2 linked regions of the Ovis aries genome follow. The protein of the gene in region 1 binds, or shares a complex with, the protein of each later gene. Links are inferred from orthologs where the notes say so. Each region holds a gene or a part of one and is shown on either strand. Other genes may lie near its edges.

Region 1 (11,630 bases):
TTAAATAACTGGTGGTACTGGGATGTTTAAAATACTTTTATGTTTTTACTTTTTTTTTAAGAGGTTGTTTTTTTTTTTTTTTTTTGCATCACTGGGTCTTCATTGCTGTGCGCAGGCTTTCTCCATTGTGGAGAGCAGGGCCTATTCTTCGTTGCAGTATTCAGGCTTCTCACTGCAGTGACTTCTCACGTTGTTGAGCAAAGGCTCTAGGCATGCGGGCTTCAGTAGTTGTAGCAAATAGGCTCAGTAGTTGTGGCTCACCTACTTGGTTGCTCCAAGGCATGTGGAATTTTCCCAGACCAGGGATCGAACCCGTGACCCCTGCATTGGTAGGCAGATTCCTATCTACTGTACCACCAGAGAGGTCCCCCAAATGCTTCATTTTTAATAGCATATGAATCTGTGCACATCTAGGACACCCCTTTTGTGGTCGGTTGATTACTGGGTAAAATTGGCGTGCAGATTACCTAACCCAATGATGATGAGCTAGGCTGATGACAGAGAGGCACTGACATGAGCCAGACACATGCAGAAGGACCTCGGGCTCCAGCAGCCCATAAAGAAGCCCACTCAGCAAAGCCAGTGCTAGATGTGTGGAGTATCATGCACTGTGCTGTACCGCAGGAGTAATCCTTGTATGGGAACATTATTATGTGTGTGTGCTCTCTCACTCAGTTGTGTCTGACTGTTTGCAGCCCCAGGGACTGTAGCCGCCCCCCCACTCTTCTGTCCGTGGGATTTTCCAGGCAAGAATACTGGAGTGGGTTGCTCTTTCCTTCTCCGGGGGATTTTCCTGACCCAGGGACTGAATCAGCATCTCCTGCATCTCCTGCCTTGGCAGGCCCACTGGGACACCTGGGAAGCCCATGGAGAGGATATTAGCCTTTTATAATGTGTACAGCAATTCCTTTCCCCAGGTTGTCCTTTGTCTTGTAATTTTGCCTATGGTATTTTTACTATATGGACATTTAATACCTCTATGTAGTCAAATTACTAAATCCTTTATCTCTGAGCTGCAGGATTTTGTCATTCCCTTTTTACGTTAGGATTGCCAAAATATTCATCTCCGTTTTTTTGTTCCTAGAACATTTACATTTTTATTCTATTCATTTTTGTTCCATCTTGAATTTTTGTGTAAAAGGTGAGGTAGAAATCCAGCTTTATATTTTTCCATTGCTGCATGTGGAAGGGAACCCGTATTTCTAAGGGCCCTAAGACACGATTGGGCTAAGAGTTAGACACAGGAAGGTTGGTGAGCAGTCTGATCTGCATGCTCTGCTCTGCTAAGTCACTTCAGTCGTGTCCAACTCTGTGCAACCCCACAGACGGCAGCCCACCAGGCTGCCCTGTCCCTGGGATTCTTCAGGCAAGAACACTGGAGTGGGTTGCCATTTCCTTCTCCAATGCATGAAAGTGAAAAGTGAAAGTGAAGTCGCTCAGTCGTGTCCAACTCTTCGCGACCCCATGGACCGCAGCCTACCAGGCTCCTCTGTCCATGGGATTTTCCAGGCAAGAGTATTGGAGTGGGGTGCCATCGCCTTCTCCGCTGATCTGCATGTTAGAGTGCTAAATTGTATGTGTTCGAGTGCCAGATGTTTCTCTGACTGTAAAACCAATGGTAAGAGATTAAGGCTGATGAAGGTTACTGAGAAAGTGGAGGAATTGAGACTTGAACTTGGTCTTGAATGACCCCTAGCTGGTTTCTTCATTTTTCTTGTTCATAACCTATGCCTTGGAAAATAATTAACGAATATACTGTAGAAATTACACTCTTTTTCATAGTGGACTCAGTGTTTGCTTTCTCTATGATAATATATTCCCACCGCTTTCTCTATTGATTTATAATTTAATAAACATGACAAACTTTTATCCTAAAAACAGAGAAGCTCTTCTAGATTGTTTTTAATAAAAATGTAAGCAGAAATATTTTTTGCAGTGTGCCTAGCACATAGCTGATGCTCATTGTGTGTTGTTTACTTCCCTCTTTCTCCAAATCTTGCCCTTCTCCTGAAAGTCTATGAAGTTTGGGCTTTAAAATACATGCTGTTTATAAAATATTCTTTCAGTTAAGGTTTCAAGTACTTGATACATTTTCAGCAGCAAGAATTTGTTCTTGACCTGTTTTTATAAGTCGTAGTACTCCCTAATAGTAGCCTTTGAGTTTTTTGCAATCAAGGCATTTCAGGAATTTTCAGAACTATATGCTCAGAACTAAATTTTCTTATTGCAGTAAGAAAAAATTAAAGAGACCAACACAGGTTTTTTTTAATTGTGAACTTGAATGAGAAAATTATGAGTTTGTGTGATAGGAGCTGGTCCTTTCTTCTTTTTTATTTTTTAAAAATAATTTTATTTATTTTTTTGGGTTGCATTGGACCCTTTGTTGTCTGCGTGGGCTTTCTCTAGTTGTGGAGAGTGGGGGCTACTCTCTCGAGGCTGTGTGTGGGCTGCTTTTGTTGTGGAGCACAGAATCTAGGTGCACAGATGGCAGTGGTTGCAGGGTGCAGGCTCAGTAGTTGTGGCTTGTGGGCCCTAGAGCATGCAGGCTCAGTGGTTGTGGTGCACGGGCCTAATTGCTCTGTGCCATGTGGAACCTTCCCAGACCAGGGATCAAACCCACGTCCCGGCATTGGCAGGTGGATTCTTATCTGTGCCACTAGGAAAGTCCGTGTCTTCTTTTTCACTCTTATGGAACGCTTGTCCATTTGGAGCTTGTTATCTTTGCTTTTACACCCAAGTGAAGTAATGGCATCGAGGGGTTGTGATCTGCTCAGGATTCATTTTGAGTTAGGACTCAGACTGTTGTGATTTGTGTCGTATTTGTTATTTCGTTGCTAAGTTGTATTTGACTCTGCGACCATGGATTGTAGCCCCCCAGGCTCCTCTGTCCCTGGGATTTCTCAGGCAAGAATACTGAGATGCCATTTCCTTCTCCAGGGAATCTTCCCAACACAGGGATCGAACCCACGTCTCCTGCATTGGCAGTCGGATTCTTTGCCGCTGAGCCAACAATGAAGCCCTTGTGTTGTGTATCACAGTACTAATTTAAGAAGCTAGAAAAAGGACAAGAAATTAAACAGAAAGAAAACGAAAGCAGGAGTTAATGCAGATAAAATTGAACTTAATGAGGTAGAAAGGAAAAAAAAAGTGAGCTAATAAATAAAATCTAGAAGCTAACTGATGAAGAAAAACAGTGAAGGCTCTAATATACAGTGTGAAATATAGAGAGTTGCCCAATGGATATATTAAAACACATGTTAAATGGCATATGCAAAAGGTTATTCATTGTGATATTGCTATTAATAGTAAAGGATTGGAAATAACCAGAGGGGTCTGGTTAAATAAATAATGGAACATCCTTATAGTGGAAAACTGCTGCTGTGTAAAAAACTGCAGTTGTAGAAAATATGTACATATAAGGAAGTCCTTTATGTATATGTTTTTCTCCAAGACATGTTGTTAAGTTTTTTTAAAAACGGCAAGCACGATATTTAGTAGTATGTATACTATGTTCCCTGGGCTTCCCTGGTAGCTCAACTGGTAAAGAATCCGCCTGCAATGCAGGAGACTCTGGTTTGATTCCTGGGTCTGGAAGAGCCCCTGGAGAAGGGATAAGCTACCCACTCAAGTATTCTTGGGCTTCCCTGGTGGCTCAAACAGTTAAGAATCCACTTCAATGAGGGAGACCTGGGTTTGATCCCTGGGTTGGGAAGATCCTCTGGAGGAGGGCATGGCAACCCACTCCAATATTCTTGCCTGGAGAATCCCCATGGACAGAGGAGCCTGGCAGGCTATAGCCCATGGGGTCGCAAAGAGTCGGACACAACTGGGCGACTAAGCACAGCACAGCATACTATGCTACCCACTTGAGTAAATAAGGAAGAAATAAATAAAATACATTGACCTAAATATTCATTAAAGCTATCTCTGGAAAGGCAAACCAAAAACTAAGAGAAATGGTTACGTGGGAGGGATGTGAACTGAACAGATGGAGCGGAGGTGCTTTTCGCTGTCGTTTTATACTTTTTGATTGAGCATTTTACCTATTTAAACAATTAAATGGAATACATATGTCAAAGGCTCTTATTTAACTGATTAAATGTTTTTGAGGAGTTATTTGGGGTAAGGAAGAATTCAGTTGGTTCTGTTAATTTCAACAATACTTAACTATTATGTACAAACAGCGAGGCTTAAGAATAAAGAGAGAGTTATCGCCTTCTAGTTGCTGACAGGCAGATATAAGCATAATATAACCATATACAACAAAAATACAGAAGCAGTACAGTGCATGAACAGGGCAGAGAGCATGCAAAGGCGGTATGTCTTGAACTGGGTGTGGCAGGACCTGTAGGATTGACAGCTGGTGATGGGGTAATGGTGGGCAAATAGGGGTAAGGAGGATATTCTTTGGATGGAGAGTGGTACACGTGCAAAGTCCAGTGGGATGGAGAGGGTGTGGCTTAGTTTGAGCTCGGGACAGCACAGCCATTTTTGCATAGCTGGAATATAGGTAGTGTTTGTGTGAGCAGCGATTGCCTTGCCCTGGGATGTAGGCCTGTAGTCAGTCTTTTTTTTTTCTTAATGAAAGATTGGAAACATATACAAAAGTAGGCAGGATAGAATTACTGCATGTGAGTTTCAACAGTCACACTCATGGCGAATCTTGTTGCATCTATATCCTTGCACCCTACCTACCAGCTCCTCCATGTTTGGATACAAATCCCACATAATGTCATTTCTTCTGTAAATATTTCAGTGCATAGCTGTAAAAAAATATGGACTGTTTTTTTTAACCAATTGGAGTACAGATTTCCAGAAGATTCATAAATACTATAAATAGTTTATTTTTGGTAGTTTTTGCTCGTTTGCTTAAGTCAGGATTTGAATAAGGTCTACAGGTTGCAGGTAATTGATTTTCTCTTTACGTCTCTTAAATAGGTCCCCCCAGTCTTTTTCTTCTCCCTTGTGATTTACTTATTGAAGGAATCAGGTTGTTTGTTCTATAGCACTTCCCACTGTGAAGAGTTTGCAGATTGCATCCCCTGGTCTAGTTTTACGTGTTCATCTGTTTGCATTTCCTGTAAACTGTTAATTGGACCCAGGGGTTTGACCAGATTCAGGTTCGTTTTTGTCTTAGTTTTCTTTTCTTGGCCACGCCACTATAAGTTTTGTGGGGTCTTAGTTCCCAGACCAGGGATGGAGCCCAGGCCCCCTGCAGAGGAGGTGCAGTCTTAGCCATTGGATAACTGGGGAAATCTTTGATTGGCTTATTTTTTTGGTTTTACTTTATAGGAAGTATTGTGGCTTCTCATTAGGGACACATAATGTCTGGTTATCTCCTTTTTTCTGATTTTAGCAGCCCTTGTGGATCAGTGTTCCCATGTCAGTCATTCTGTAGAGTTAAAAGAATTAATCTATGACTACTCTCTGGTTACTATGACATCTGTACTCTTTCACTTCTCAGGTCTTGTAAATATCCTATGAGGTAAAGAATGTTTATTTTTTTTATTTTTTTAAAATTTATTTATTTATTTTTTTTTTAGTTTTTTATTTTTTAAATTTTAATATCTTTAATTCTTACATGCGTTCCCAAACATGAACCCCCCCCCCCACCTCCCTCCCCATAACATCTCTCTGGGTCATCCCCATGCACCAGCCCCAAGCATGCTGCATCCTGCGTCAGACATAGACTGGCGATTCATTTCTTACATGATAGTATACATGTTAGAATGTCATTCTCCCAAATCATCCCACCCTCTCCCTCTCCCTCTGAGTCCAAATTTTTAAATTAAAATTTTTAAATGGAGTACATGTTAAGAGTAATTGGTTTCAAGTGACCTTTCAAAGCTGTTATCAAATAAAAGGGTTTCTTGAATTAAAAACAAGTTCATCTTTTATTTTAATGGATTTTCACAAACTCGGTTATTTGTGTTTTATACTTTATCAGGTTGCTCTTCCGATGTGTTAAAAGTAAAGCAGAGGGGAAACAGTGGTGTGGAAATATCCCATGGCAGGTAGGAATTATTCGTCTGTTTTCAGATCTGACTGTGTAAAGATGTTTAACCTGTGGGATCATCTGAAAAGACCCTAAAGTCCATTATAAACTGATTGGTCTTCATTGAACTTTCTCCGAAAGAGTTCTTTTCTTTCAGCAAGGTAGACCCTGTTGGGACTCTTAATTCAAAGGACTATTTGGATCTTTTTTTTTTTTTTTAAATTTTTAATATTATATTGGAGTATGGCCAGTTAACAAACAATGTTGTGATAGTTTCAGGTGAACAGTGAAGGAGCTCAGTCATACATAAATATCTATCCATTCTATAGTTAGTAATAGTAGTGTTAGTCACTCGGTTTTGTCCGATTCTTTTTGACCCCATGAACTATGTATAGCCTGCCAGGCTCCTCTGTCCACGGAATTTTCCAGGCAAAAATACTGGAGTGGATAGTCATTCCCTTCTCCAGGGAATCTTCCCCACCCAGGAGTCGAACCCAGGTCTCCTGCCTTACAGGCAGATTCTTTACCATCTGAACCACCAGGGAAGCCCATTCTATAGTTAGCATTCGCCTATTTAGGGAAAAAATTTAAATTTACTTGACTAACCTCAGGAATTTTTTTTTTAATATTTATTTATTTGGCTACTCTTATTTTATCTGTAGCATGCAGGATCTTTAGTTGTGACATGTGGATCTAGTTCGCTGACCAGGGATCAAACCCAGACCCCCTGCATTAGCCCCCAGACCGCCAGGGAAGTCCCAGCATGTTTTTATAGACTGTTATCTACTTGATGTTTATATAAACTGGGTGTAATTCATAAGCTTCTGGAATGTGAGAACTAGGAGAGACCCTGCAGATGTCTACTACATGAGGAACTAGACTGAGGGAGGTCTTGAGACTTGTAGAGGGATAGCTTGGACTTAAGGTTCTAGATTTGAAACCATCCTAAAGCCAAAATCAGAGCTGTTTAGGTTTGGGGAAAAGTTCATCTTGAGAGAGTCATTTTCATGAAAAATACACATTGTGGCTATTGCTATTATTAAAACAGTTTGACCTGCACACTGCTTTTCCTTGGGACCTGTAAAAGCAGTGATCACGGACAGAGAAAGAACCAAGCATTGAAAGTACTGTTAGGAAATGAATACTGTGTGAGTTTGGCAGTCCGTTCTAGAGCAGGAAATGATCCCAGGAACGTTTAGGAAAACTGGACTGCTTTTACTGCTTTTACTTTTCCCATTTCCTCGGAAGAAAGGCCTTCTAGGTGTGAAGGTTGCATTCATATTTTATATTAAGATTAGATTATTTCCTTTGTCTTTTAGGATCCTAATTCTAAAGAACATTCTGGAACCAGTAAGTCTCAGCTTGCCTCTGAGCCATCTCATTATCCTTCCAGCCAGCTGAGAAATCCGTTCAAGGTACTTGATAAGAATCAAGAACCATCCGTCTGGAAACAGTTCATCAAAGGTGAAGATGAGGAAAAGACAGCTGATAAGAAGCAAAGAGAAAAGGGAGATCCATGCCTGGATCAAAAGAAGGAACAGAAGCCGGAATCTAAGTGCTGGGCGGAGAAAGAGCTCTCATCTGGCCTGGGAGCAAAGAAAAAACAATCTGCAGTTCAAGATAGACAGCAAAGAGAGAAGACAGTGTTTCAGTGCGAAGCAAAGGAGATAGAAGGGATGCACAAAAGAAACCTTTTAGAGATGAAAGCCAAACAGGTCTGTGGAAATGGGCTCAGAGAACCATCTGCATTTCAGGTGAAGTCAGATAGTGAGAGTCATTCTGTCCAAAAAGAATCAGAACCTCCGACAGTAAAGGAAACTAAGCCTTTGCCTCGAATTGTTCACAGTCAGCACTCAATAAGCCAGCCCCTGAAAGGGGAGCACCTCACCAAGGAGCACCCTAAGAGCTGGGAGGCTAGAGAAACAAAGACAGGGAATGACCCAAGCACACAGACCCTCCAAAAGAGTCTGCTCCAGGGCCATTTTCAGGCTCAGTTGGGGACCCGGGACACGCCTGCTCCAGAGGAACCAGCTGCTCAGCCTGCGCCACTGGCCACAGGGCGCCCGGCAGGAGAGAGGCGAGAGGCTGACACAGGCAGTGGTGGCAGTGAGGACGATGACGTTGTTTTTGTTTCGTTTAAGCCGGGGAGCCCCTTACTCTTTGACTTGCCTCCAGACACACAGGAGAAGAAGGACCTTAAGCTCCCTGGTCAGAGCGTGCAAAGAAAAGTTTCTTCTGCCTCGAGTGTTTCCAAGAAGGGAGAACCTTCAGACCTGACAGCCCAACGTGTGTTCCTTACAACACAACTGAGACACAAGAAGGTAACTGCCACCTGTGTTTGTTTATGAGGTCGGAGCATTGCCTGCTGTGGGCAGGTCAGGTGCGCCACGACCGCATATTAATGTGTGAAATATATTAATGTAAGGAAGGTCTCACAGGTGGATGTTTAGTTTCTGCCTTTTGCTATGGTTGTATGTTCAGGATTGGTAAATCAGCTGGGTTTAGAAAGAAGAAAGGTTCTGGTTTTCACACACATAGCTAAAAGACTAGTGCTACAGTTTTAGCTTTCTAGGCTGTTTTAATCTGAAAGTACCTCTGACCTCTCGAGAGGAGCGAGTGACCCATTTTATAGGATCTGTTTTACAGAACACACTGGCATCGGTGAACATCCAGGCTCTTCCAGACAAGGGTCAGAAGTTGTTCAAGCAAATTCAGGAGCTGGAGGAAGCGCTCAGTGCCCTGGCCCTCTCCCCAGAGCAAGGTAAAAGGGGTTCTGCCCCTGAACCCGGGGTTTGCGTGAACTTCAGGAGACATTCGAGAGCCATTTCGATAAAGAAGAGGTTGGGGGACTTCCTTGGCTGTCCAGTGGTTAGGACTTCACCTTCCAATGCAGGGGGTGCAGGTTCTGTCCCTGATTGGGGAGCTGAGATCCCAGATGCCATGTGGCCCCACACCCCCCAAAAAACCCAAAACATGAAAAGAGCAATGTAACAAATTCAATAAATACTTAAATTTTTTTTTTAATCTGAGGAATAGTTCCTGACATTAAAAGAATAGGTTGATGCATTGACCTGCCCATCTTGTTGTCTGTTTCAGAGCTTCCTTTTAAGTTGGGTCTGTGATTGATAAAAATTTCCTCCTATTTCCTGTGGACTCAAGTCTTTTCCCATTGTTTAAGAAGCGGTTTAAATTCTTCAGTCTCTAGGAAGCCTTCCCCTGCTCATGGTGATCCCACCCTCTTGGCCTCACCTCGCTCATAGAGTTCCTTCACTTTTCTGAAGTGTAATCTGTTCTTCCCTGTGTTTTGAGCAGACACTAAGGAGAAGCTTAACACTCAAGAACCTCAGCAGAGTAACTTCACCAAAGAGACCACTGACCCTCCCCGCTGGGTGCCTCCCAAACCCCTGCAGGGTCAGGATCTCTGGCCTCTGGGTTCTCAAGGACTGAAGGCTGCCCACCAGGAAGCTGCTGGAGGGTCTGGTCAGTGCTGTGGAGGTGAGATCCGAGGGCCTGGCCCTGGGGGAATAGCTACACCTACAAGTTCAGTGCTGCCTCGTAGGTGCCTTTGTGTCCATGAGAAGGGAGAAGCCATTCTGTCTTGTGTAATAAAGCTGGGGGTGCTCAGCTGAGTTTTTACAGTGTAATTTAGACCTTCTTGAGAGCAGAGACTGTGTCTGCCCTGTTCATTGACCTTGTTCATGGCCCTTAATCAACCAGCTTAGTGGCCAGCATGTGGGAGTCATCTGCTAAATGTTTGTGAGTGAAAACTCAAACTCACATCATGAGGAGGAAGGCAAACCAGTGGATATGTCTGTAGTCCTGTGTGTGCGTGTGCTGAGGCAGGGCAGGGGAGTAAGCGACTGTGACCAATAGACCCACAGAGAGCAGCACCACCCTATTTAAATGAGCGTTTCCATCCTGAACTCTACAGACAGCAATGAATTCTGAAGTAGCTGCAGGAGAAGGATCCCCAGAACAGCCTCAACTGTGTAATATGATCATGTGGTTTACTGACCAGGACACAGGAACTCGGCTGGGCTGACAGCGATGAGAAAAGCAAAAGCCGGTTGTCTGCTGAGAACTGCTCAGGTTGTGGAAAGGAAAAGGAGAGAAAAGAGAAAACCGGAGGGAGGGGAGAAAAGTTGGAAAGCAGTGGCCAGAAGAGGGTAAGGGATAGACAGGGTGCCATGTGACCCAAGGATCCCTCTAAAAGGGCGCAGAGAAAATGTGCTTATTTAGGGAAAATAGATAAGCAGCAAGAATCTACTGTATAGCACCGGGATGTCTTATAACCACCTATCATGGAAAAGAACATAGATAAAAAAATACATATGACTCAGTCACTCTGCTGTACACTCAAAACTAACACAGTGTTGTGAATTAACTACTTCCTCTGAAACAAAACAGAAAACGTATTTAGTCCAGTGGCACAGCCTAGTTAGGCTCCAGACGGAGGAACACTGCTGCATGACAGCGTCGTGCAGTCATCACCATGGTGATGGAGTTGCCTAGAGAAATTAAGGTGGATTATTAAGGTAAGAAGTTATGTAGTATGTTTAGGAAAGAATCCCATTAAAATAGATTTTCATTTAAAAACATTTTAATGTTTAAGTGGATAATTAATTTTTATTCGTTTAGAAACCTCTTATTTGGGTACTTCATCCCTAAATTTGCAACCAGCTAAGGTGCTTGTATTTATTACCTAACCTGAGTAGAAGTTCTCTGTGTATCAATAGAACGAGTGGTCTCCAACACTGAAGTATTCCCGGTGTAGTGCAGGCATCTTGGGATGTGCATATTTGGGGCTCTCTCTGTGCCTAAAGTTTGACAGCTTCCTGTAGCTCGGTCTCTTCTATTGCTGGCTTTTCTTCTTGGAATCCAGCCCCAGGGGTCCTTTTTTCCAAAAATTTTGATGGTATTGTTTTCTCTGCCACCTCTTCAAAGCTGAAAAAAAATTAAAAATATTATAGATTATCTTATATTTTAGTTATACTTTCTATTACTTTGTCCTTTATTAGAGCACTTATTAATGGGAACTTTAAAAGACGGACATACAGAGAATGAGGCTAAAGGAGCCAGAGCGGCTAGGAGAATCTGGAGGCAAGAATTTTTAGCCCATACAGATCCATCATCTGGCAAATAATGAATTGCCTTTTTTCAGCTCTTGTCAGGACATACTCACAATCTCGATTTGTCTGCAGGCACTGTGAGCCAGAATGGCCTTCATGCAGTGTGGAAGATCACAAGTGAAGCCATTGATGAGCTGCATCGCTCTCTTGAGTCTTGTCCTGAGGAGACCGCCATGGCAGAGGATCCAGCTGGGCTGAAGGTGAGCTGGGAAGGCCCGCAGGGCAGAGTATCCTGGATAATGCCCTAGCGCCCACGAGGAGGGGGCCCAACCATTGGGAAAGTGCCTAGCAGGGTGCCATTCTTCATTGTTTTTCTTTAAATAGTCCTTTTTGGTTTGTTTTTTAATTTACTATTTTAAAATTTTATTATGTGCTTTTAGTTTTGGTTGCTCTGGGTCTCTGTTGCTGCACATGAGCTTTCTCTGGTTGCATGAGGCAAGGGTGTTCTACTCTTCCTTGAGGTGCACAGGCTTCGCATTGAGGTGGCTTCTTTCGTTGTGGAGCAT
Region 2 (12,257 bases), on another chromosome or scaffold:
ACTTGCATCTCCTACATGGGTACGCGCATTCTTTACCCCTAGCGCCACCTTGCGGAGCGGCCACACAAACGTACGGAATACAACTTACACATATGCTCTTGTGTATCTGCGGGAAAATCATTCCATAGGACGAATTACCAACATCGAGATTGCAGACGCAAAGACAATGTGGGCACGTTGAAAGCGGTATGTAATAGAATTTGTCCAACCTCCTTTGGAGAATCAGACGAACTTGTGCACCCAACTCCAGCAGAGCAGAGACTGGATTCTCTGCTCTGTCTTCCATTCACAGGGCGACTTTTTATTATGCTGTGGAGTGGCCACGAATGGATGTGAGAGCTGGACCACAAAGGAGGCTGAGCGCTGAAGAATTGATGCTTTCGAACTGTGGTGCTGGAGAAGACTCTTCAGAGTCCCTACAAAAGCGGGGAGATCAAACCAGTCTATCCTAAAGGAAATCAGTCCTGAATATTCATGGGAAGGACTGATGCTGAAGCTGAAACTCCAATCCTTTGGCCACCTGATGCAAAGAGCTGACTCATTGGAAAAGACCCTGATGCTGGGAAAGATTGAAGGCAGGGGGAGAAGGGGACGACAGAGGATGAGATGGTTGGATGGCATCACCGGCTCAATGGACATGAGTTTCAGCAAACGCTGTCAGACAGTAAAGGACAGGGAGGCCTGGCGGGCTGTAGTCCATGGGGTTGCAGAGAGCTGGACACAACTTTCAAGTGAACAGGAAAAGGCACGGGAAATTGCATTGAAAGTTCTGGACTAAATAAAGATCTAACAAGAGGCTGAGGTGCAGAGGACGGACGGGTTCCATGAACTGGGTAACGTTCATGGGGAATGACCAGGCTGATGCCTTTGCTAAGGACGGATAATTAACGTTGGCTTCAAAACCAGACCAAAGGATATCTAAGGGAGCTCCCTCCAGTTCCTTAAGGAGGTGCATGCGCCACCTGGTGGAAAGGAGTGGTTCTGACTAAAGTCTCGAGATTTCCTGGTGACTCAGTGGTAGAGTCCACTTGCAATGCAGGAGATGTGGGTTCAGTCCCTGGCTGGGGAAGGTCCCCTGGAGAAGGAAATGGCAACCCACTCCAGTACTATTGCCTGGAAAATCCCATGGGCAGAGGAGCCTGGTAGGCTACAGTCCATGGGGTCGCAAAGAGTCGGACATGGCTGAGCGACCTTCCGTCAGTGGTAAAGAGTCCACCTGCCATGCAGGAGACCCGGGTTTGATCCCTGGGTCGGGAACATCCCCTGGAGGAGGGCATGGCAACCCGCCCCAGTACTGTCGTCTGGAGAATCCCACGGACAGAGGAGCCTGGGTGGGGGAGCTACTGTCCACGAGGTCACAAAGAGTTGGACGTGACTTAGGGAGTGAAACAACAAGTCTTGAGAGGCATGGATCTGTGAGGTGGATGGACAGAGGCGTGGCCCAATGGGCAGATGGAGAGGTGGGTGCGTGGTGCACATACGGACGCCCAGATGGATGGAGGCATGGACAGATGAGTGGACGCAGATGCGCAGGTGGATGGATGGATAGTCAGACCAGTGGACAGCTGGATGCATGAGTGAGTGATTGGGTGGACAGATGGATGGGTGGAAAAATGGATAGATGGGTGGATGGATGGATGGATGGGGGAGTGGATGATGTATGCATGGATGGATGATGGATGGTGAGATGGATGGGTGGAGAGATGGACAGATGGGTGGATGGATGAATAGATAATGGAATATATATTTATGGATGGATGGATGATGGATGGTGAGATGGATAGATGGATGGATGGATGGATAGATGGATGCATGATGGATGATGGATGGGTAAATGGATGGATGAATAGATGGATGGATGATGTATGTATGGATGGATGATGTATGGATGGATGGATGGATGGACTGCTGGATGAGTGGGTGGATGAGTCCCCGGATGTTTGGACAGATGGGTAGATGGATGGATCGATGAACAGATGGATACCTAGGTAGACGGACGTCGGAGGGGGGCTACACGTGGAAAGAGCACAGTCAGCTCTGACAGTCATCCTCAGGTCGGTCACCAGTGGTCTGACCAGCCCCATCTTGGTTGTTTTAGGTACAATCAATCTTCAGTTGCAAGGTCAGTTTGTTCCCATTCCTTGAGGCCAGTTCTCAGATCTGGGACAGCCTATGTCATGCCTACAGCCTGGCCATGACGTTGTTAACTTCTCCCCCTGGTAGGCGGTGTCAGTATCTACAAGACAGCTCACAGGAGGTGGCTCAGAACCTCTATAGCTCTTGAATGCGTGCTCCGTTGTTAAATCGTGTCCGACTCTTTGCGACCCCCATGGACCGTAGCGCACCAGGCTCCTCTGTCCGTGGGATTTTTCCAGGCCAGAATACTGCAGTGGGTTGCCTTTTCTGACTTCACTACAGCCCTTCGGGAGGAACTGAAGGTACTTGACTGTGCTTAATGAGTCAACTGTCATAATTTAGTCTCGCTTGACTGATTTTGTGTGGTTCTGCCATGTTCTTACTTCTCTGATTAAACTTCTGCTTCAGCTAAAGCTTATTTTATTTTTCTACAGACAGAAGGCAGGCGGAGGGCGTGGGAGACAAGGACCATAGGTTGTTGCTCCGTTTCAAAGGGACACTGCAGACTGTCAGCAAACCACAGAAAGCCTGCCGACAGACCCGGAGCAGATCCTTCCTGGGAGCACTCGGAAGGAACCGAAATGCACCCACGCCTTGGCTGGTTTCAGACTTTCTGGTCTCCAGAACAGTGAGGGTATACATTTCTGTTCTTTTTGGGGTCACAGCTCACAGCAGCCCTCGGAAACGAACAGAGCAACAACATTTAAGCACAGAACATACATCATTGTCTGCATGGGGTAGAGAGGCACGCTTTACTGTGGTCGGTTGTTGTTCGGTTGCCAAATCATGCCCAACTCTCTGCGACCCCGTGAACTGCAGCACGCCAGGCTTCCCTGCCCTTCACCATCTCCTGAAGCCTGCTCAAACTCATGTCCATGGAGTCGGTGATGCCATCCAACCATCGCATCCTCTGTTGCCCCATTCTCTTCCAATCTTTCCCAGCATCAGGGTCTTTTCCAATGATTTGGCTCTTCACATCAGGTGTCCAGAGTATTGGAGCTTCAGCTTCATTCCTCCCAATGAATATTCAGGGTTGATTTCCTTTAAGATGGATTGGTTTGATCTCCTTGCTGTCCAAGGGACTCTCAAGATAGTTTGAAAGCATCAATTCTTCAGTGCTCAACCTTCTTTATGGTTCAACTCTCACATCCATACGTGACTATAGCTTTGAATACAGACCTTTGTCGGTAAAGTGATGTCTTTGCTTTTTAATATGCTGTGTAGGTTTGTCATAGCTTTTCTTCCAAGGTCAGGCCCACCTAGAATACTCTTCTCATTTCATTAGACTGACAGCATCCATACCTTCACCACTCAGAAGCCACATGCCAATTCCTGCCAAACGGCTTCTTTTTTCCCACCAGGCAATTGGCTTCCTCAGAGGCAACCAGGCTGTGTTTCCGCCGTTTTAAATGGTTTGGATGCCAACACCTGATTAGGGCAGGCCCACACGGAATAACTTCCCATTTCATTAGCTGGACTCTACAGATGATGGACTTTAACTTCAATTGTAGAATTCCTTCAGCTTTGCAATCTCACCCTGGAAGTGACCGTGCATCCTGCTCCCATTCCCCATCATGCTCAATGAGAGTGAAATTTACATACCTGGTATTTCTCACTCCTCCAGAGGATTAAGGTCCCTGGGGACTTTGCTTCTGTGTTTCTGGGGAACATTCCGTGGAGGGATATTTTGCTGAAAAATGTAAAAGGACTTTCTTTGAATATTTCCCAGATTCTTGCAATTGTCTCTGAGTCTTGCTCGTCCCCAAGAAAAGTGAGTATCTCATGTCTTAATTCGCTTTGCTTGGTACTTGGCAGTTTCCAAATTTAACAGGTCCCCAGGGATACATTTTTGCCTGAAAAATCTCACGAACAGAGGAGCCTGGTGGGGGCTACAGTCCAAAGGGCCACAAACAGCTGGACACGACTGAGCAGTGGGTGCCCATTTCCTTCTCCAGGGGATCTTTCTGACCCAGGAATTGAACCCAGGTCTCCTGCATTGCAGGCAGATTCTTTACCAACTGAGTTATGAGGGAAGCCATTTTATTTATACCATAAAATGACCTAAATGTATGGAGAAGGCAGTGGCACCCCACTCCAGTACTCTTTTGCCTGGAAAATCCCATGGACGGAGGAACCTGATGGGCTGCAATCCATTGGGTTGCTAAGAGTCGGACACGACTGAGCGACTTCACTTTCACTTTTCAGTTTCATGCACTGGAGAAGGAAATGGCAACCCACGCCACTGTTCTTGCCTGGAGAATCCCAGGGACGGGGGAGCCTGGTGGGCTGCCGTCTCTGGGGTCACACAGAGTCGGACACGAGTGAAGCGACTCAGCAGCAGTATCAGCAGCAGACCTAACTGTATTATTATGCATAAGATAAATATTACAGGTAAAGTTATACAAAAGGTCATTATTTTTGAAATCGATTATATATAACGTGGGTGGCATAGTGGTAAAGAACCCACCTTCCAATGCAGGGGACACAAGACACACAGGTTTCACCCCTGGGTCAACAGGATCTCCTAGCGAAGAGAATGGCAACCCACTGCAGTACTCTCGCCTGAAGAATCCCACGGACAGAAGAGCTTGGCAGGCTACAGTCTATGGGCTCGCAAAGAGTCAGACACAACTCAGCAACTGAGAACACAGATATATAACACAGAAAGCACATTATATATTTATATTTACATTTTATATATTAAGCAATTTAAAATAATAAAATGCACAGATGCATATCAAAAATATAAAATAATAATTATGCAATTTCTGTTACTTTCCGACATCCTTAAAAGTAAGCATGGAACATCAATGTTAAAATGTAAAAAGTTTCAATAGTAAAATACTAGATGTTTATACTAACACTATATTACTTAAGTGAGTGTAGTTACATTACGGGAGGTGAAAGTCGCTCCGTTGTGTCTGACTCTTTGCGATGCCTATAGCCCACGGGATTCTCCAGGCCAGAATACTGGAGTGGGTATTCATGCCCTTCTCCAGGGGATCTTCCCAACCCAGGGATTGAACCCAGGTGTCTCGCATTGCAGCCGGACTCCTTATCAATGGATCCACCAGGGAAGCCCGTTGCATTATATGTATGCTACATTATAGCATGATATAACAATGTCATACAAGCAATCCATACTCATACGGAATAAAATCAGTAATTAATAAATATACACTTGTCATAGTTCATAACGATATCTCATGTGCGACGCATGACTGTAACAGCAGTGTGCCCCACACAGCCGGCCTGAGTCCCGAGTCCGGTGTCTTCACCCTGGGGCCCCAAGGTGAGGCCTCTGCCTGGACCTGAAAACAGGTGGCAGGGTTGGGGGCGGGGCGGGGCGGGGCGGGGTGGGGGAAGGGCGCGGCGGGCTCGCGCACGCGCACCGCGAAGCCCGGGCCGGCCGGCCCCACCCACCGCCGCCCCGGAAGTCCCGCCTCTTGGGGGGCGGGGCCATGGCCAGGAGGAGAAACCCGGGCCCGCCGCGCGGCCTGCTTCCGCGGGCCCGAGCGGCGGAAGCGGAAATGCGTCACAGGGGCGGGCGGCGGCGGCGGCCGAGGCGGCGGCAGCGGGTCGCGTCGGGGGCGCCTCCGGCGGACGGTGGCGGCGCCGGGCGGGGAGGCCGGGCCTGCCGGCGTCGTCGGGGGCCCGCGGGAGCGCTGGGGCCAGGGCGGCGGCGGCCTGGTACGTGGACGGGGCCCCGCCCGCCGGGCGCCGGGGACCCCGGGGCGTCGGGGGGCCGGGGAGGGCGGCCTCGCGGGGCGGGCGGCCGGGGCGCGGCTCTCCTGGGCCTGCGGGCTTCGGGGGTCGAGAGCCTTCGAGGGGCCTGGGGGCGGGGGGTCTGGGGGTGACGGAGAACCGGCGGCCGGGGGCTGCGGGGGTCTCTTGGGCCTGCGGACTTGGGAGCGGGGGGCCTGGGGACTTGGGGGCGCGGCTTTGGGGGTCGAAAGCCTTTGAGGGCCTGAGGGTGACGGAGTGCCGCGGGCTGGGGTCTGCAGCGGTCTCTCGGGGCGACCGGGGCACGGGGTCTCGTGGGACTGCTGACTTGGGGGCAGGGGCTTCGGGGGTCGAGAGCCTTTGAGGGGCTTGGGGATGACCGGGGGCTGGGGGATGCGGGGGTCTCCCGGGACGGCCGGGGCACGGGTGTCCTGGACCTGCAGACTTGGGAGCAGGGGTCTGGGGGACTTGGGGGTGTGGGCTTTGGGGGTCGAAAGCCTTTGAGGGGCTTGGGGTGACGGACAGCTGGGGGCTGCGGGGGTCTCCCCGGGGTGCGGAGAGTGGGGGGCGTCTTCTGGGAGAGGATTTGGGAGAGGGGACAACGGCGATTGAGCAGAGGAGGGGAGGTCTCCAGGGAGCTGCGGGGTTGGGGCGGGGGGTGGACAGGGTCCCTGCAGGCGAATCGGGGTCCACCAGGGTAAGAGGTAAGCAGGCTGTACTGGGACGGGGAGTGAAGTTAGGGGTTACTGGAGGTTGGAGGGGGTAACCGGGGGCCACAGAGGCGGCTGGGGAGAGAGAAGGCGGGAGTTGGGCCAGTGGGGTGAGCATTTGGAGGGGTGGAGGCGATGGGGATCGTGAGGGGCTGCCAGGGGTGTGTTGACAGGGGTGCAGCGAAGGGGCTGGGGGTCATCCCCAGGGTGCAGGGGCAGCTGGGCGACCAGGGAATATGGGAATCCCCAGGGTTCCTAGTAGGCAGTGGGCTTCCGGAGTCTCTGACTCAAGTTCTCTCTGAGGTCTGGAGGTTTTCTGCGGGTGGAGGGGGGCTGTCGCCACTCTCAGCCCAGGCTGAGCCCCCTCCCTGGTGCCCCAGACCTGGGCCAGGTGGCTCTTCCCTCCAGCTGGGACCCCTCCACCCCCGTCCCTGCAGCTTCTCCTGGGTCTGGGTGTGTGTGTGTGCTGAGCTGTTCAGTCGTGGCTCTCTGTGACCCTGTGGACTATAGCCCACCAGGCTCCTCTGTCCGTGGCTTTCTCCAGGCAAGAATACTGGAGTGGGTTGCCATGCCCTCCTCCAGGGGATCTTCCCGCCCCAGGGATTGAACCCAGGCCTGGTCAGAAGCTCTCAGAGCCATCTGGTGCGCGGGCACACAGCCCAAGGCCCCCTCCATTACTGTTTGCTGTCCGTGGGTCAGGTCTGGCCCTGCTTTGCGGAAGTAGGCACCTGTCTGACCGGTAGGGAGAAGCTGGTTGAGGGGGAGGAGAGCACAGTCAGCTCCCCGTCCGCGGCTTCCCAGAGGCCCCGCGGCTTTGATGGTTTTATCTGGACACAGAGAAAATGCTTCTGCCTGCGGTAGAGATACTGAAGTCAACGGTCTTCAACCATTCTCTCAGCCTGAAAGTTCCTTCCTGTTTCCGCGGGCTTCCTCCGGCACAGACCTTCCCAGGTGCTTGTGTGGGTCGTCCCTTCCCCAGTGAGACGTCTGCAGCCTCCATGGAGGTGGCCTGTCCCCCACATCCCGAGGGCAGGGACCCTGCCCATCTGGGCTCCTGCCAGCCCAGCCCTGGTGGAGATGCCTCTGAGTATTGGGGGCAGCTCAGTGCCCATGGAGGCTTGGGGCAAGCAAGTGTTCCTAAAAGTTTTGAAAACCCAAATTTTTTTCCCCTGCATTTGTGTAATCTGATTAAAAGGGCCCACATGTCAGGGGCTGGGGTTTCCCTGGTGGTTCAGACAGTAAAGCATCTGCCTGCAATGCAGGACACCCAGGTTTGATCCCTGGGTGGGAAAGACCCCCCCTCCTGGAGAAGGGAAGGGCAACCCACTCCAGTATTCTTGCCTGGAGAATTTCAGGAGCAGGGGAGCCTGGTCGGCTACCGTCCGCGGGGTCACAGAGAGTCTGACACGACTGAGCGACTAACCCTGAGGGGCCGAGGGGCCTTCCCTGACGTAGCGACTAGTGTGTCGGGCACGCGGAGGGCAGACGGGCCTCCGTGCCCCGGGCCGCGTGCTGGCCAGCCTGGGGGCGGGGCAGCGGGCCGGCCGTGAACGCGCGGCGTGCGCGTCTTGTGTTTCAGGCCCAAGGTCCCGGCTATGGCTGCGGCCACCATCGTGCACGACACGTCTGAGGCGGTGGAGCTGTGCCCGCTGCACGGCCTGTACCTGAAGCCCATCACGAAGATGACCATCAGCGTGGCGCTGCCGCAGCTGAAGCAGCCGGGCAAGTCCATCTCCAACTGGGAGGTGATGGAGCGGCTCAAGGGCATGGTGCAGCACCACCAGTTCTCCACGCTGCGCATCTCCAAGAGCACCATGGACTTCATCCGCTTCGAGGGCGAGGTGGAGAACAAGAGCCTCGTCAAGTCCTTCCTGGCCTGCCTGGACGGCAAGACCATCAAGCTGAGCGGCTTCTCCGACATCCTCAAGGTGCGCGCCGCGGAGTTCAAGGTCGACTTCCCCACGCGCCACGACTGGGACTCCTTCTTCCGCGACGCCAAGGACATGAACGAGACGCTGCCGGGCGAGCGGCCGGACACCATCCACCTGGAGGGGCTGCCCTGCAAGTGGTTCTCGCTGAAGGAGTCGGGCTCGGAGAAGCCGAGCGAGGAGGTGCTGGTGCGCGTGTTCGAGCGCTTCGGCGAGATCCGCAACGTGGACATCCCCATGCTGGACCCCTACCGCGAGGAGATGACGGGCCGCAACTTCCACACCTTCAGCTTCGGCGGCCACCTCAACTTCGAGGCCTACGTGCAGTACCGCGAGTACGCCGGCTTCATCCAGGCCATGAGCGCGCTGCGCGGCATGAAGCTCATGTTCAAGGGCGAGGACGGCAAGGCTGTGGCCTGCAACATCAAGGTGCGGGGGGTGGGGGGGAGGCGGGGCGGCGGGCTGCGCCCCGAAGGGCCTCCGACATGGGGAGGGCTGCCTGGGCCCCCCACGCGGTGAGCGCACTCTGTGTCTCAGGAAACGTGGGGAGAAGTGGAACACGCTCGCAGCCGCCCTTGAAATGAGGGCGCTGTCCATCATCGCCGCGGACTCTGGCTCGTGCTGGCTCCCCACGTCAGGCTGGCGGAGGAGCCGGGGCCCTCGGGGCGCGAGCTGTGCCCGGGCGCTGGGTGGTGAAGGCAGCTGGCTGCGGAGGGCGGGGGGCGCCCACCGCAGGAGGGGGAAGGAGTCAAGCTCTTGCATGCAGGGCTGGCCTCCGGAGGCCCTGGTGTTTCCGGCAGAAGGGGCCGTCCTGGAAGGGGTGGGGTCCCTGAGCGCTGACTTCGAGCCCTGCCCCGCAGTCCCGAGGTCCCCCCGGTCAAGGGCGTTGGGGGTCCCCGCTCTCTGCGGTGAGTCTGAGGCAGGCCGTCCGGTGAGCACGGGCTTGTCTGCGTGCTCAGGACGGTGCGTGCACCTCCTAACCCTGCCCTGTCCTGCCTCCGAAGGTCTCTTTCGATTCCACCAAACACCTGAGCGATGCCTCCATCAAGAAGCGGCAGCTCGAGAGACAGAAGCTTCAGGAGCTGGAGCAGCAGCGGGAGGAGCAGAAACGGCGGGAGAAGGAGGCAGAGGAGCGCCAGAGAGCTGAGGAGAGGTGCGTGCTGCGGGGCCGGGCTCTGCGGGCCTGGGTGCATGCGTCGGTCCCCTTGGAGACGCAGCGGGACTGCGGGGCTGCGGCCTACCCCCAGGGCACCGCCGGCTTCCCACCCGGCGTTTCGCTGAGCCTTCCTTCTCGCTGAGCCTCCCGGGGCACCGTGCAGCACCCTGCTGACGCGGGCACGGAAGTTTTGTCCAGCTTACAGGTGTTTTGCGTTCAGGCTGAAGCTGCCTTTAAGTGAAGTAGGGAAGTGAGGGTATTGTTGGCCTTTCCCAGCAAGAGCCGTTCAGGAGCCCTGTGAAGTGACACTGAGTCAGGCGTCTTGGCTCAGGACCTCTGTTTCTTGCTTTGACGTTCTGGCGCTAGAGGAAGAGAGCCCGCCTGCCTGCCAGTTCAGTAAGAGAGAGTGCGGGTTCAGTCCCGGGTTGGGGAGATCGCCTGGAGAAGGGAAAGGCGCCCACTGTGGTGTGCTGGCCTGGAGAATCCCGTGGACCGGGGAGCCTGGCGGGCCGCTTCCGTGGTGCCGCAGAGTGGGACGCGACTGAAGGGACTGCGCGTGGCATGCTGTGAGCCCTGCAGGCAAGCTGGCCAGTGTGCCGAGCTGGCTTCTGGGAAGGAGCGGCAGTTCCTGGTGCTCCACCGTGACCCGTGTGCTCGGGCGCTTGTCCCGCACTTGTCCGTGTGTGCGGCGGGCAGGGTTTCTTGTGTGTTTTGCAGAGTGCTGAGTCTCAGGCGTGTGTGCTCCGGCATTCTCTCCTCACCAGCCTGTGTGTGGGTCTGGGCTGACCTGGCTTGTGCGCCGCTCCGGCCTTGGGGCTCCTGTGTGGTTCCCGTTTGGTTCCGATGCTCACTAACACAGATTCGGGCCTTTCTCGGGGGTCAGCGCTTCCCCTGTCTGCTCCGGAACCCAGTGCCAGAGTGGCAGGTGCTGGAGATGGTGCTGGCCTGTGCGCAGGCAGCTGGCGGGGGTGTGGACACGGGTAGGGGGTCGGGAGCCCCGGAGTGAGGCTGTGGCTGCAGAGAGGACAGGTGCCCAGAGAGGGCGGGGTGTCCTGGGTGCATGGCAGGCCTCAGGTGGCGGCCACAAGGGGGGAGCAGTTTGGATCTCACACTGGACGAGGCCGCGGGATCGACGTGCCCACCACAGGCTGAACCAGGGAGCGCTGGTGGCATGCGGACCACGGGTCCTGGTCCCAGGCAGGCCCCGTCCTCTCTCTTCCGCGATCGACCTTGTGCGCAGTCCCCGAGCTGGGTGTCACAGGGGTTACCCCATGGCCTTTCCAGGGTCTCGGGGCAGGCGCTTTTCTCCACCTGCACATTAATGCGGGGAAAGCCGCCCTGAGGGTGGCCTTTGAGCTCAGGCGGCAAGGGGTGTCGTGTCGTGGTGGGGACACTCAAAGTCGGCGGGGCGGTACCTCTGACGGGGCTGAGGCGGCTGGCAGGGCTGGCCTGGCATGAAACATGGGCCCGGGGGTGCCCGGGAGGCCCTCGGGTGTGCAGGGCTGTGTCCAAGCCCAGTTGGCCTCACTGTTAGCCTGCAGGCCGGCCCGGGAGCCTGGGCGTCTGTCCTTTGTCAGGGGCGAGCGAGTTGGTCCTTTCCTGCTAATGAGGTACAGCGTGGCCTGCAGCAGTCCTGTTCCTGGCTATGGGCCCTTAGCTGGACAGGTGAGGGCTCTGGGCACTCAGGGCCGCTGACCAGCAGTCTGAGCGGCAGCCCCTCACCGACCCCTGTTGCGGGAGACCGTCTGGTGTGTGGCCTCCCGGACGCCAGCATCCTCGCGAGCTGCCTCGCCTCCCTGCGTGACCCGGCCTCCCCCCACGCCTGGAGCGTGGGTCCTCCGGCCTCCTCGTCCAGCGCTGCTTCTCTGCGGGCCTGGCGCCCTGGGAGTGATGCCGGCTCCTCTGCAGAGTGTCCTTCCTGGCCTTGGCGTCCCCGTGCCACGTGCTGTCCAGGGTGGCCTTGCCTCTCTGCTGTGCCCGCCCTGCCCCTGGCCTGAAGGTTAAGTCTGAGGGGTGCGAGTGTTCCGTGAGGACACGCTCATTGGTCTTCCCGCCCCTGGAGGCCCGGATCCCTCCCAGCTGTGCTGGGGTCCTGGCTTCTGGGTGAGGAAAGGGTGCTGTTGGGTCTGAGCTGGCCGGCGCTCTGCGGGTGCTTACGGAACTGCCACTGTCCCCAGGTGACCTCACGGGCTTTCCCCGGGGTGTGTGCTGTGGGGCCCCTGTGCCGAGGGCCGCCTCCCTCCCCAGAGCAAGCCGGATTGGCTTTGTGTCACTGAACATATGCCTTTTCTGCAAGTCCCCATGAAAGGCCATGCAGTGTGTTCTCTTGGGGGCTTCCAGTAGCTGGGTGCTTCTAGAACCTTCCTGCCACCGGGTGCATTCCTGCTCCCCTCCAGCTCCGGGGCTGGGGGCTCGGGATGGGAAAGCCCAGGGCAGGGGTCTCTCGTGCAGTGGGAGCCGGGCCTGTCCAGCGCTCCGGCGGTGCCCGTGTGGTGCCCGTGGTGGAGGGCCTCCTCCCTGTGCCGCTGCGGCCCGTCCTGGTTCGTCTGCTGCGGTCCCTGCAGGAGCAGCTGCATCTGGTGAAAACTCCGCTTCCCACGCGTC

What was found.
Region 2: TTF2 (region 1) and A-kinase anchor protein 17A share a complex: the UniProt entries of both Homo sapiens proteins name them as parts of the spliceosome. The link is inferred for Ovis aries from reciprocal best matches to the Homo sapiens genes TTF2 and AKAP17A.

What each region holds. Positions count from the first base shown.
Region 1 is NC_056054.1:94,475,985-94,487,614, forward strand, and holds part of TTF2 (transcription termination factor 2), read left to right. Parts: intron 1-5,947; coding exon 5,948-6,014; intron 6,015-7,314; coding exon 7,315-8,316; intron 8,317-8,641; coding exon 8,642-8,756; intron 8,757-9,307; coding exon 9,308-9,490; intron 9,491-11,196; coding exon 11,197-11,324; intron 11,325-11,630. UniProt on the Homo sapiens protein: DsDNA-dependent ATPase which acts as a transcription termination factor by coupling ATP hydrolysis with removal of RNA polymerase II from the DNA template. May contribute to mitotic transcription repression. May also be involved in pre-mRNA splicing.
Region 2 is NC_082741.1:863,451-875,707, forward strand, and holds the start of A-kinase anchor protein 17A, read left to right. Parts: upstream 1-6,523; 5' UTR 6,524-7,386; coding exon 7,387-7,520; intron 7,521-8,148; coding exon 8,149-8,926; intron 8,927-9,501; coding exon 9,502-9,650; intron 9,651-12,257. UniProt on the Homo sapiens protein: Splice factor regulating alternative splice site selection for certain mRNA precursors. Mediates regulation of pre-mRNA splicing in a PKA-dependent manner.